3 linked regions of the Schizosaccharomyces pombe genome follow. Changing the gene in region 3 together with the main gene of any one other region gives a genetic interaction. Each region holds a gene or a part of one and is shown on either strand. Other genes may lie near its edges.

What was found. A genetic interaction does not mean that the proteins touch.
Region 1: mutations in dis2 (region 3) and nsk1 impair growth when combined (synthetic growth defect), as found in Schizosaccharomyces pombe (2 studies listed by BioGRID, with this or other methods).
Region 2: mutations in dis2 (region 3) and spc7 are lethal when combined (synthetic lethality), as found in Schizosaccharomyces pombe (one study listed by BioGRID).

What each region holds. Positions count from the first base shown.
Region 1 is NC_003424.3:3,180,930-3,185,005, forward strand, and holds nsk1 (Clp1-interacting, microtubule plus-end binding Nsk1), read right to left. Parts: upstream 2,399-4,076; 5' UTR 2,099-2,398; coding exon 710-2,098; 3' UTR 501-709; downstream 1-500. Other genes in the region: 3-oxoacyl-[acyl-carrier-protein] reductase Oar2, read right to left, coding at 1-207. UniProt on the Schizosaccharomyces pombe protein: Ensures chromosome alignment and accurate chromosome segregation during mitosis. Promotes proper kinetochore-microtubule (k-MT) interactions during anaphase B.
Region 2 is NC_003421.2:785,789-792,482, forward strand, and holds spc7 (outer kinetochore KNL network protein, KNL-1 family member, blinkin, Spc7), read right to left. Parts: upstream 4,873-6,694; 5' UTR 4,827-4,872; coding exon 732-4,826; 3' UTR 501-731; downstream 1-500. UniProt on the Schizosaccharomyces pombe protein: Acts as a component of the outer kinetochore KNL1 complex that serves as a docking point for spindle assembly checkpoint components and mediates microtubule-kinetochore interactions.
Region 3 is NC_003423.3:3,172,568-3,176,827, forward strand, and holds dis2 (serine/threonine protein phosphatase PP1 catalytic subunit Dis2), read right to left. Parts: upstream 2,532-4,260; coding exon 2,480-2,531; exon of another isoform or gene 2,412-2,479; intron 2,131-2,411; exon of another isoform or gene 2,084-2,130; coding exon 1,152-2,083; 3' UTR 598-1,151; downstream 1-597. Other genes in the region: hom6 (homoserine dehydrogenase), read left to right, coding at 4,127-4,166, 4,236-4,260. UniProt on the Schizosaccharomyces pombe protein: Essential role in cell cycle control. PP1 is perhaps required for exit from mitosis.

The sequences.
Region 1 (4,076 bases), on a different chromosome or scaffold from region 3:
ACTCTTTAAATTTTTCATATCACTTTGGACATCTGCAATCGTCAATGTATGTTGCTGTCCTTTAGCTACTGATAGCGACTGTAAAGTTTCCTTTAAATGAAATTCATTTCTCCCCACTATATGACATTGATGACCTTTTTGGCTCCAAATTTGTGCGATTCTCTTACCTAATCCACTGCTACCTCCAGTTATTAGAACTTTTCGCATTGAATGAAGGAGTTGGGCGTTGCTGATGAATGCTCCCTTCAACGCCTTTGACAGCAAACAGATACATCTATCTACGGCTATTCAATATCAAAAAAGGATTTACTAGTTTATTTCCAAACAGAAAAGGAAGTGGTATTTATTAATTAATTTCGTTTTAATATTCGAAGTTGGTACTAGGTATATATAAGCAAAAGTAATCTCTACAGTATACTTCATTATAATTCGTTTCTTTTAGATAATACGAGTTTGCTAAAGAAAGCTTTAGTATTAGTTTTCAAAGCGCACATTGTTAAGTCACCCTTAATGGAATTCATCAATATTATTCTTTAATGTAGTAAGAGAAATCACATTAATATTTGTAACCGTAACTATGTTTGTAAATCAATGAGCCATTGAATTAAGGATTTAATAATATGCGAATGGTATATATAAACGTTGAATTATAGGAAGAAGACAAAAAATATTTCGGAATTTAACTCTTCTTTCATCACCAATTTGATGCTTAACTTTGAATGTTTTTTCGAGTTTTATGAGCTCGTGCACTGTGAGCTTTCCCAGTATCAATATTCGACTTAGTTGGGGTATTCGGCTCTGAATTAATGTTATTCTTTGCAAGGTTTTGTGGCCATTTGGTATCCTTTTTCATAATTGATTCCGGAGTACTGTTTAACGAATGCTTCTCTCTATTACCAGGGCTCACGATGTGTTTCAAGGACCATAGGACACGCTTAGATCTTTTCTTAGACGGTGTAGGTGATTCCTTTGGATAGAGGCCGGTTTCTAAAGAGCCAGTCCTTCTCCTTTTATTTTTCGCAGGGGCTTTTTGCATTTCCTTTTCAGCAGAAGAGTGGTCTAACGGACTTAATGAAGATTCTAAAGGTAACTTTTGTTTACCTACAGGGTCTTTTTCTTCTTCAGATTTGAAGAGTTGATTTTTGATTTTTGCCTTCTCTTCTTTCAGTTTTAGTAATTTGACAGGACTTGATTTACTCTGCAGAGATTTCAAAGTGGACCGGAGAGCTGGGCTTGATTCAAGTGTAGCTAATCTTCGTAGTCTCTTTTGAGTTGCAAATGTAGAATTTGGTGCAAAAGCTTCTAACTTGGTCCTAATGGAAGGTGGAGATGGAGTTGAGTGGTCGACAATTACGAATGTCTTCGAACTTGATGTAGGGGTTCTTAATGGAGAAAATGTCGATGATCGGTTTTTATTAGGAACTTTGAGAGGAGGAGACTTACTTAAGATGGAGGTGGGTAATTTAACACGGGAAGGTGGAGACTTTATAGTTGATGACAACGATTTCTTAGGACTCGGCACACGGGCCGGTTTTCCAAGATCTGTTTTTCCATATTTTTCAAACAAATTTTTTCTTCGTTTAGGTGAGACACTGAAAAAGTTGTCCTCTTCAAATATACCTGGGCATTTTGTAGTGCCTTGCGAAGGATTTGAGGTTTTTCCTTGGCCTTTATATGGTGAATATTTGACATCGTGCTTGTAATTATCTATTTCATTATCGAGCTTTCTTTCATTATTATCGATAGTACTCTTGCTGGGAGACAAGGACGTTTCGTGGTTCTTTGAGGGACTGTTACAGATGTTGATAAGTTGTTTCAAGTAACGAGTTTGGGTATCGCTTTCTTTTTCTTCATTTAAAAATTCCCTGTGGTTAATTTTTGGAGGTGAAATAAGCTGATTATCCTTTGAAGGGTTTGAGTGAGTAGAAAAGTCAGCTACTAGCGATTTTAAGGGCGACAGAGGTTTCAATGCTGAAGAAAAGACATCACTGGATATAAGATTATTTTGAAATGTTGATTTTTCTTTCTTTGTCGAAAAAGGAGCAGCAGGGAAAATTAAAAGAGGTTCAACAGCTGAAAGAGAAAGTTTGTAAGCCATTATCAGCAGTGTTAAATGTATATCAAGTATGAAATGTACAAAATCCAAGAAATATGAAATAAAAAAAAAGAAACAGTTAGGCCTTTAATAAAACGAAGGTTAGAGTACCGCGCATGGAATTTGAACTTCACTGATTGAAAACAATGCAGCTCAAAAGCAATACGAGCAAAAGTATTAGTATAACATAGGTTTTTAAATTCTTGAGATATTAGGCTCAATACTGATACCTGTACTCTCAAGGAAGCGTTTACGTATGGGAATTATAGTACATGTACACAGATTAACGTATGGCTAAATAGTAAATGAGGTTGTTGTACGGAAGAAATATTTTATACTCTAAGTGGAAACAATAAATTATATTTTGACACATAGAAATTAAAAAAAAATTTAATAGTAAATCTGCGAAGCTTTATAATTTATTGTCACAACGTGTTTTTACAATTACCTTTTTAGCAAAGGCTCTAAAAAATCAGGAAAGTACTTTTATATTATTTCATTATGTTTCTGTACAAAACAAAAGTATTATGATCCGAGAAATACTAATTTGTAGTAGGTAAACAAAGAGCATTATACTGAATAATAGAATACGAAGCTTGGACAGAGAACAGTTATTAATACTATCCATAATTTTTTAATTTCCCTGTTTTCCTAGTTTGTAGATTTGTTAGCGAGTAATATTTCATGCTTAAAATAAGTTGATTAAGAATCTGATTCGGGTCTACAGTTTGAAAAAGACAGTATATCTTTTCAGAATGATTATGACGATATAGTTTTATCGAGTTTGTGGAAATTACTGTTGAAATAATTAAAGATGTATGAATTAATTAATTACTTAACCAAAGGACGGTATGTAAATCTAAAAACAATGTTTGGGGTTTCAAAACACTTGCTTATTTATTATAAGAAAATGCTGAGATTCAAAAATTTTTAGTAAGAAGAAAAGGACTACATTAATTGCGGTTTGCAACTGTTTTGTCATATGGTAACTTAGTAAATTTTTTTGTTTTTGATGAAAAGGTAAATAAATACCCATCATCGCACCTACTAACCTACATACTCCATTGTAATTGAATAGCTCTTTAAAAATGAATAATTTCAATGACAGCATTTGAACTTCCTAACGATTACATTGTTTAATGCATCAATATCGTTAATCAATAATCATTGATATTTGCCAATTGATTAGGAAAGAACAAATTATTTTATGCAATCATGATCTTTATTCCTTAAAAAAAAAAAAAAAAAAAAATTGGGAAATACACATTGTAGCTATACTTGCTAGAACGCGAATTATACTTTGAGTTACACTTTGTCTCACCCAAAATAAAGAAAAAGAAAAAGAAGTTTCATGCACCATTAATAAAAAAAAACACGATAAAAATTACACAAAAAATTTATACAAGCAATTAACCTAAAAAATAAAAAAACACAATATAAAATACATGAAAAAAATATATGTATAATTAACTACTAAAATTAGCCGATGCTTATTTCTGGTTCAAAAAGCGAATTGCGTAACTCATGAATATCAATCAATTTTTGTATAGAAAGTTGAAAATATTAAACTTCAAGTACAGTTTTATTAACTGTACAAATATTTGCCGAGTTACTTCCTCGTTATTACCGCTTCGCTGCACTACTTATCTATTTTGCAAAGGCAATTCCTTCAACTCTGATTTCGATACCCTTTAACTAGTAGAGCCGCTGTTTCTTTTTTCATTGTGTGCTTATAAGGGTAATTTGTTGCAGGACGGATTTTTCAATTGCATCAATACTCAATCGCATCAGAAGTCAATTTGAAAAAATAAAATATTTACAATGTACTAATCACACTACTAGTTGCACTCGCCGAATTCTTGATTCGGTATTGTAAAATCATTTCTAACAATTCAATGTAAAGAAGTTGCCCTTTTAAACTTCAGTAACATTTGTTGAGTTGTCATTTCTATAAGTTCAAGTACCATTAATTGCTTGCACT
Region 2 (6,694 bases), on a different chromosome or scaffold from region 3:
TGGAAATTAGGGCTCAACCGGCTGTCTGTGAACTTTCGATTGCGGATGCAATCTATTTTTAAGTGTATTAATATTTTTATCAGAAATTGCAGACGAGGTTCAGGAACTTTGACTTACTTAATTAAACTGTGTTCAAAAATAAAAAATGGATAACTTAATAATCCGAGCGAAGCCTAAAAATCTAAAAAACCTCCTATTTCAATTCTGCAAAATTTGAGCTTGCAAACTCATAATTTTGTAAGCAGCGTCTGACTTTCAATTATAAAAATCTAAATATCCGTCCAATTCTCTTAAATTAGTTAAGATCTTTGTTTTGTTTAGGATCGGTCTCTTCTATCGATTGTGTATATATGTATCTAGGAGAACGTAAGATGTCGATCCCGTACTTATCAGATCAATGTGAAACTTTACTACACCAGATTTGCACATCCGAGAATCTTTTAATTATGGATAGTTTATTTATATATTAACTAAACACTTTATTTTGTAGCGCATTACGGGTTTAACAAAAAGATTTATAATTTCATTATCAGTCAAGATCTACCATTATTATTTCACCAATATTAAATAGCATAAAATATATACATTTTCTTTAGTAACATGTGAATTAACGAAAACGAATGAACTAGTATACAACAAGGATAAATGATATTTCCAAGCGTTAAGCACAAAATGAATATTGGGAAAGGAAGTCGCTTCGGCGCAGCATAGCTAATCATTCCCATTAATATCTAGCTGTATTTGTTCCAAACAGTAAGACAAGCAGACGAAAGGGCATAAGTTGATGTACAATGCACCACTTCCGAAAGAGTATTCAAAACCTCACTAACATAAGAGTCTCCTTCACTTTCCGCATACATCTGTTTCACAGCGACTGATGTAGAAGCATAAAACTTTCCTACTTCAGTAGTTTGGTAGATAGTATCAATTGGGAGACCGAAAACAACCTTTACCTTAGATGATACCGAACGCAGGTATAGCTCAACATTTATGATAATAGACTTATCATCATTTTCAACTGACAAAAAGGGCCAATGGTACCATAATCGCTGGAAATCTTGGACAAGATAAACAATTTGTTCCCAACAAATTGAAACATCGTTAAGATACTTCTTCAGAAGACGTAAGTTCCTAGAAAATACCTTGGAATGCCATTTAGAAAACGACGATGCAACATGCTCGAGCACATTTGAGCTGCAAGCATTACTTTCGTTAGGGAACTTACAGGCAATATCAACGTTAACTTGGAAATTTTGCCTCAAAATCTCAACCGTAACCTCGGCTGAATAAGGAGAAAGAGCAGTGTTATTTGTAGCTAATTTAATTCCGCCCGCGGTCAAAGAAACTATGGTCCAGCCAAGTTCATTTTTAAGATTTAACAACTGCTCCTCGTATCGCTTAATTTCGTCAAATTCAAAATCTTGGTTTTTCGCATAAAAATCTTGTTCAGCGTTGGTACGTAATTCCAAATCAGAGCAAGAGTTTGTCACTTGTTCTATCTTTATTGCCAACTCCTTTCTTCTTTCTTCTTTTTCACTCAGAAGCCGACGTCTCCTCTCAACCTCAACCTTGAGTTTCTCTAACTTTTCTTGCGCCTGCGCTAGAAGAGTTGAGTCATACTGATTTGCAAATTCCTTCTGCTTCTTTAATGTCTGTACTGTAGTAATACTACCATTGTATCTCTCTTGAATTTCCTGCGCATACGGATGAATAACATTCGCGACATCCATTAAATGGGTCAAGCTTCTTTGCATCCCAGTTAAATTTAAATTTAATTCATGTTTGATTCCTTGCATCAAACCCTCACGCCATTCGTACCAATCACCTTTTGCTTGAAGTCTAGCAAAAGTTTTCATCATTAAAAATTGTGAATCCATTAAAACCCTCATATCACTGGATGCTTTCCTATACTCATAGAATAGTAACGGGTTCTCTTTCAAAGTTTCCTCTTCAATTTTAGTAACAAAATCCTTCCCTTCGGCAATATAATCCTGTAATTGCTGACAACTAAATTTGTATAACTCTAACAAAGGGAATTGTATGTAAAAAGATTCCAAAAGTTCTTGGATACTGCATTTCTTATTTTCTTCAGCATTTGGCAATAGGGTTTCTCGTCTTTTAGCAATAGTAAGATTATCCAAAAATTCAATTCCGGTCATTTTAAGAAAATCTGATAGGCTTATCGGCTCGACGTTTGGTAGAGTTGGCATCGTATCAAATTCTGGCTCATTACCAACAGGTATTTCTTCATTTGGACCAGAGTCTTGATTCAAAATGTTCGTGTTAATAGTCGAAGCGCCCAACGATGTATCAACATTGCTCACACCTTTTGATAATTTGACGGGTGACTTCTCATGTTCATTCATGCCCACGGAAGTTGTATTACCTGCATTTGACGAACCAACTTGAACAAGTTCATTCCGGTTGGGTTCCTGAGATTCCAATCGCTCCAAACTAGTTGAATCGGCGTAATCTGCAGTTGTTATACGCTCTTTTTCATCCTCATTCGAAGGTTGTTGAGGAAGCTTAACAGAAGAAGTCGTATTAGTTGGAACGTGCTTAATTTCGTTAGTCTGTTGAATTGTTAGTCGCTCTGTTTTACTCAATCCAGAATCAACATCTGCATTAGACACTTGTTCGCCTTTGTCATCAGTGGGTTGCCTTGAAACTTCTTCAGGAAGACTTGAAAGCGGCTTTTCTGTGGTGAATGGCTTCTCTGCGGTAAGTGGAGTAGCTCCTAGACGATAATTTTCGGATCGCTCAACCGATTTATAGAGACCAGAATTTACTTTTTTTTCGAAAAAGTTAACCGGTAGAAGTTCTCTGTCATTCAAAGTTGAAATTGATTTTCGAGCATTACGGATTGTTGCAAGACGATTGCGACGCAAGGTACTTTGATCAAAACTTGAAGTGCTATATCTTAAGCGTCTTTTCCGAGTACCAAGCTTATCAGTAGGAGTCGCTACCACATGTCTACTTGGAGAAGAAGAGTTAGGATCTTTCGAAAATTTTAGATTATTGTTCCCATTTGGTGACCGTTCATGGTTGGTAAAGGAGGTAGTATTGAAATTTTCTGACTTATCACTATATGAGGGTATTTCTTCTCTCTCGGCATTTTCCTTGTCTGCTGAAGGTAACTCAACATTGTTTCCACGGATTTGAAAAGCCACTGTTTCGTCCATAGCAGCTTCTTCCACCTCAAGATGAGATGTAGAATTCTCACAAGGAAAAACTGTTGAGGTTAATTCCATTGGTTGCTCTTCGGAAAGTGCTTCTTTAGAAGGGGATAATATATTGAAAGGTCTAGTAATGTCCATAAAGTCCTCACTGTCGGGAATGGGCTTTGAAGAATTGGCAGTCTTGTTATTATCCTTTCTCGGTTTTGAAGAAGAGGATATATTTGAGGTAAATTGATTTAAATCATCTTCATTCAAATGGGTGGGTGCATTTGTAGAGCTAATGGGTTGTGTCAAGTCCATTATTTGCTCTTCCATGGATCGTGACGATGGACGAATGGGGGAAAGGAGAGTTAAATGTGAGTTTTCGATATTAAAGGCGGAGGTGGTATCCATTTCTTCTTCTCCATTAGTTAAATCGTTCGGAGAATGATTAGTTAAGTGAGGATTAGCATTAATTGGTCGGGTAAGGTTCATAGGCGCTTCTTCTAAGTTTTGTAAATCTAAGCCATTGGAAAAATGAGACACTGGAGATAAATTAATGTTATTAGAGGTAATATCCATGTCAACAATAGCTTCTTGGGAAGTTAAAGGGCGAGCGATGGGGGAAAAGTGTTGCGGAATTTCAATAGGTCGAGTTAGCATCATATCTTCTTCTTCTTCTTTATTTTCCGACTGATCGTGATTTTCGTTATTTTTGGAGAAATCCGAAATTTCAATACTAGTTGGACTAGATGATTTGTTAGGGGATGAAAGTTGAGTTTGGTTTGAAGGGTCATGAGAAGCTTTTAAACTATAAACAGTACCTTGCTCGCTAGAGCTAAGACCTTTAATTGATTCGGAATGTGATAAAAACGAATCTGCTTCTTGGAATTGGATAGTCAAATCCATGTTAGTTTCCTCTCTATCATTAACCTGCTCTCTCGTGGCATCGTGAACATCAAGTGCCTTTTCTGCTTCAGGTAAGGCTTTTGTTGGATTCTGGATACTTAAATCATCATTCTCCGGATACAGAGAAGGAGGCGGATGGCCAGCATTCAATGCCTCAGAGACCATATCTGATTCGGTTGACCGAATAGGGGACGCAATGTCCATATCACTACCGTCTGAAATAATCGAGGCACTATGACTATGGGGAGATGATTGTGTTTCGTTTCTCGAAAAACTTGTCGTTGTTGGACCTTTAGGGGAATGGTTTTTAGCATCAGATGCAAAAGTTCGCTCAGGTGTGCTGTGATTAGATGTCGACTTTTCCGAGTCACTCTGGTGATCTTTAGGATACCAACGTACACGTGCATGACTAGCAAAGGAAACTCTTCTGTTCAAACTTTTTCTAGACGTCTCACGCGACAATTGCTGTAGGTCTTCCATTTGAAGTCTCTTTGACGCAGCCATAACATTACTAGAGATTCCAATGACCGTGTTATTTATTTGTGTGTGTATATCATTAAAGTCTTCATCTCCTGTGAAAGCGGGATCTACGGAAAAGGATGAATAACTCTTTAGAATGCCTTTTGCTGGATTTGTGTGTTCTTTAAGTTCTTGAAGCGCACCAGGTCCTCCAAGCGAGTGTGGACGCTTCCTACTTTTGTTTCTTCCTATAACATTATCGGTCGTCGCTATACTATTGCGACGAGGCGATGTTGGCATCGTCAAGTTAAACAAAGCACGTCGACACACGAACTTTGTTGTTTTTAGATTAAGACGAACATAAGAAATTGTAATGATAGTTCGTTAAATTTATGGCGGTGAGTTTCTTTTTGCGGCCTAGAACGCCTTTCGTTGTATTATTTAAGGAGTCTGTAAGCCTTTTTAGGATACGGTAGACTACGATGATGCTTTCTGTAATCATTCCTGTTAGCTAATCTGAATAAATAATGAATAAAGATCCTATTTGTAAAAGTTCCAATGAACAATATGACTGTTGTTCATTCTTATCATTAACAAATTGTATAAAGTAAAGGTAAATTGGGGGTACTTTTGTTCAACTGGGTCTATTTGTAATATTGGGTTTTCTGTAAACAATAAGGTAATGAGCATCACAAGCATATGCGCACTGTGATGGAGGAATACAAACTTCAAAAAGGTATAGATATCTAAGATTCACTTGAATGTTTTGTCAAATGAGCCGCACTGTTCTTTTGGCATAATTTAATGGATTAACTTGAAAGCAATGTGCGGTTGTAAGAAGTATAAGTAAATTGTAGCGAGGTTGTTATAAATTATTATTTCGCAAATTGTATATTATAATAATACTCGTGAATATTCCTTTAAAGGAGTGTGTTTATTTAATATCATTCCAGCGGCTTATAATCAATAATCGAGAAAAAAACTGTTTATTGTTAGTATTTCTATAATTTGATGGATATTGCCATGAACTTACAACCACATGTAATTCTATGTTCTACTTTCCATTGAGGTTCTCGTAACCTGTTCCATCATTGTTTACTATTCAAAAGTGGTTATAAAAGGTTACCGGCTAAGCAAATATAAGCTAGCTCATTCTGAACTATTTCCTGTTCATTTCCATGGTTATACTTAGCCATAGTGAAATTGACCAGACATTAATTCGTGTACTTTTCCTTTTACGATGATATATTGATCACAAATAGAAATTATAAATCCTTTTAAGTCAGATTACGATTGCGTTGCTAAGACCTGAAATTGATATATTATGTACTATAATCCATATGTGTTATTAACAACACTAATGCTTTCAAATCACAGTAAAGCTTAGTAACATAACTAGCATTTGTACAACATTTAAATGAGTAAAAAAAAAACAAGTATGGCTGAGCTCGCTTGTCTTAATATTTTTTATTAGAATGATAAATCATATACCACGATTAGGATTTCTTTGAAGAATGGAAATACAAAAGGACGTAAAATGTTTATATTCGGCACAGGAAGGATAGCGTTGTATAAACGAATGATAATTGTTCAGTATTTCAAACAAGTAAGGCTTTTGTCATCAATACTAACATTCTTTTTTTTTTTTTAAATCCGGGAAATTGACAATTCTTACAATTGGATATTTGTAAATCCCGTGTATCCCGTAGTATGGTATGATATTCTATTCGTTGCATTTGGTATAAGCCTTCAAATACGAGCAGACTTGGTTAGCCCAATATCATTCTCCCATTTGGATTTAGTCAATGTTACGATATAAATGGTCACAAATCTCCGGTATCGTAATGTTATCCAGTTTCAAACGACATAACATGTTTCAATTTAATAATGACTTATTAATAGTTGCATAACTACTGTATTTCACTAGAATCCTTTACTTAGCATAATGTGTGTGACATGATAAAAAGGGCGTCAGACATCTTCTCTGAGGAAGATTTGATAAAAATAGAAAAAGTATTGTCTATACAGCAGTCCAGGCTTGTCCTTTAACAATTGCAAAAATATAGATTATTCCACAATTCATTTAGCATACTAACTTTACTTAAAAGGGGCCAAACTAATGCTTCAAATTGCAAGGATTAGCCAAAATTGTGCCAAAAAAAAAAGAA
Region 3 (4,260 bases):
TGGAATTAGTTGTCTTAGTTTGGTTTCTACATAAATGGCATAATTCAACGTTTTAAAAATTTTGGATTTCTAAAATGAGAATCTCGTTTGATTTGTGCTTCTAAAAATAAAGGTAGTCTGCCGGTTAAATTTAAAGCGAATGCGTAGAGTAAGCTCTTACTGGATGTATATGAATAGCTGTGACGTTCTGTTAATCTAAAGTAAATTGTATCATTGCACTTTTTAACAAAATTACCCGTGAGATTAATTGCGGTTGAACTTGTTTTTCGTGCTAGACTGATGATTCGCCCTTATACATATTGGCTAACTTTCGGCTAATCTTCACCGAATTTAGTCAAGAATTGGGTGGTACAAATTTTCTATTAATTGATAGTACCTTAGCAGCAGTATAAATCTGAATTTCTTAATATTATTATTGTGTTCATAGACTTGTTAGTGAGTACTCTGCTAACTCGCCGGTAAATAGCTGTAATGATAATAAGCACCTTACTCTCTCTTACGATTAAACGGTGGCTTTATATTATCAAATCCCAAGGAATGCCGAAACATTGTATAAGCCTACTGTATATAAACGTGTGAACTACCATAAAATAGCATCACTGAAAAGGAAATTTGATTGCATAGTAGTATAAACAATAACTAAATAGGCAAATTATTTTCCAACGTGAGACCAGTATACATAATTGAAATGAAAGACCTTTAAACAAAATTGTCAATGGTCATTATAAAGGATTCCACCGATAGCAAACAGAAGCTTGCAGCGGAAAATGCCATCATCAACGTTAAGCACTCTCTCGAAGATAAGAAGTATAAAGTAGTTCAAACAACTATTGCTCGGTAAAAACATCCGTCTTTTAAGCGTCAGATTTTGTTAAAAAAGGGAATTTAGATGATGAAAAATAAAAGGCAATAGTCTATATACATCTAACAATTGACGGAAAAGAAAGAAAATGAATAATGAAATGGTAGTGCAAAAAATAATTTCTTAAAAGAACATTCAGTTATTTCATGAACAATTAATCATCGACCATTGAGAAATGACGAAAAGAAATCCGTTCAAACAGCTACATAAAGCGGTATTATCGTCGAATTGTTGCTTGTGGAAAATGAAACCAACAAAAAAGAATGGGAGAAATTGGATTGAGCTTAAATTACTTTGAATTTCCTGTCTTATTCTTCCGAGGTGGAGTCATGTGCCAATTTTGACTTGAACCTTGGTATCCGTAGCGTTGTTTTTTTTCAGCCGGTTTCAAAATCTGGAAACTGCACAACAAGCTCTCGTCAACACTCATCATCGCACCTGCATTATCAAACTCGCCACAGTAATTAGGTGCACTGAACAATGTGACTAGCTGACGTTTAGAGAAGAACTCATAACCGTCTTCCACAACCTGATGGGCTCGGCAAACAAGATCCATATCGTGTTTGTGCAAAAACCGAGAGACAACATCAGGTCCAAACGTGAAAGAAACACCTCTATCATTATCACCCCAGCCTGTAAGATCCTTGTCAGGATCAGACCAAAGTAAATCACAGAGTAACCCAGTATCAGGGACATCGGTCGGTCGCATGATTCTTTGGATCTGGTCCATAGAGTTCAAATCTGGCGAAAGACCTCCATGCATAGTAAAAATTTTTTCATCAATGATAGCTGCTATAGGAAGGCAGTTGAAGCAATCTGTAAATGTTTTCCATAACTTAATGTTATAACGGCGCTTACATTCATCGTAAAATCCATAGATACGATTAATACTGGCGCATTCATGATTTCCACGTAAAATAAAAAAATTTTCGGGGTACTTGATTTTATAAGCGAGCAAAAGACAAATTACTTCCAAGCTTTGTTTTCCTCTGTCAACATAATCACCTAGAAACAGATAGTTGGCTTCTGGAGGGAATCCTCCGTACTCAAAAAGTCGAAGAAGATCGTAATATTGGCCATGAATATCTCCACAAATTTTCAAAGGAGCTTCAAGCTCTAGAAGGATAGGTTGACTAATAAATATTTCACGTGCTTTGTTACATAAAAATCGTATTTCATCTTCAGATAATTGAACCTGTCTACCTGGACGACTACCACGGACTAAAAGAAGTTAGTAAATAGCTAAATGGTTTAAATGGTAAAATTAAGGATGGAAGTATTGGTTAGAAAAATCATTCACACAGAAACACGATATATGCCAATATGCAATCGCATTTGAATACAAATATGCGTGATTATGTATATAAAGCAAGTGTCATCACAAATGAGACCAAGAATCAAAGAAAATGCTTTCTAAACGTTTTCAAAGAAAAAACTTTCCCTTTTTCCTGGGTTTTCCTCAAATTTTATGAACAGTTGAATGAACATTTACATAGAGTCGTTTCCAGTTTCTTCATGTAAATTATTGTATTAAACAACAACTGATTTCAATTTCCTTTCAAAAATTTGTCTAAACTCAACCCTTCATCATGATCAAGTCTGCTTTTCCCCACTCACCTTCTAACAAGCGGTCGATAATGGAATCCAAATCCACATCTGGGTTCGACATTTTACAGGTATCCAATATAACCGCTTTTGACACTTATGAAGTCAAATTTTTGGGTCTGTGATTAATTTTTTACTCGACCGAATTTCGACGATTTTTCTTCCAAGTAAAGTGTTCCGAGGAAAAGTAAGACGGACGGAGAACGGTATTCAGTCGGCAAACCGTTTAAAAGCAATATTTGCTGCTAACTCAGAAATAAAGGTTATGGCTAACAGTAGGAAACTGGAGTGAGTTGTATGTAGTAGGTAGTTGAATGGTTGGGTGGTGGGTGTACAACGAGCTTGATGCATAATATGTGCCTACTTTCCTATATTCCTAGTTTCTATAATCACTACTACATTAAAAAAACGTATATAAACCTATAATTAAATTACTTTGGAATTCTTTTCTTATATTAATTGTTGATTTTAAACAACCCTCTAAATCTTGCTGCTCTACAAATTGTCTAGCAAATTGATTCAATTTTCTTTATTAATAAAAGGTGAAGAATAATTTAAATATTTTAAGAGATAGCAACCTACTTCAAGATAATATCGGTTTATTGTTTTGCAAGAAAACTTCATTAGAATTTAAAATGGTATATTCAGAACATTTTAATTTCGCAGTATTTTATCATAATATTTTATTTTCTTCTAAGCTTGATTTAGAAAATAAATAAATAATTTAATGTATGTTATCTGAACTTTTAAATTGAAAAAGCTGCACCTGCTTATGATTTGAGTTTGCTAATCATAATAATATGCATATATAATTAACAAATTATATAGTCAGATTGGTTTCATTACAGTTTTTCATTTTCTTGAACCCTAGACTTTTCTCTTCAAAAATCTCTTTTTTTTTTTTTTTTTTTTTTTTTTTTAATAATAAAAAAGCAAATTTGATGGATGGAATGTGATTTATTTAGACACTTAGCAGCATATAATTTAATTTACGAAGCAAAAAATTAAATATTTTTTTTCACGAGTCGATAAACACTAATAAATCACATAAGTTGATTAAGTGGTTTTTATTAATTGTAAAAGTAAATATATGATTGTATGCCATTGAATCCCATATATGAAATTTAATGCGTTATATTTATAATTTGTGATTAATTTATATAAATCGGCTTCTATACTAGATTTCTAGCTAAGTTTATTTAGCGGAGCTTCAATAAAACAAAATCAAATTAAATAAAATTTGTATCAAACGAAATCAACATCATTATTGCTACAGTAATAGATTTTGCGCTTTTGAGTATTATTACAAATATGTTCTGACTCGATTAATATAATGTCGCTCACATTTTGTTCACAACAAATATACCTGCAAAACTTTGATATCAATCAGAGAGAAAGATCCTTCCTTGGTTGAAAACTCATTTTTGGGTATAAAATAAACTCTTCTAAAAAATGTTTGGTATGACAATATTTAGACATGGAAAAAATTTAAATCTCCCTAAATTATCTACACTTTCTAAAATTTTATTTCCCTACAACAAAATTATCAATTCGTATATCACCTCTTCCAAAGTTTCCTTTGAGAAAACCCTTGTCACTGCTTTTCGTAATCCGACCCAACGTCGTAGCATCTCTACCTCTCCCACCCACTATTTGAAAATGTCAGCTAGCAGAACTAACGTTAACGTTGCTATTGTTGGTAAGCACACAATAAATTGAATGCTTGAATGTTTTGTAAAGCGAAAGCTAATCACTTAAAAATAAATAGGTACAGGAAACATCGGCGGTGAACT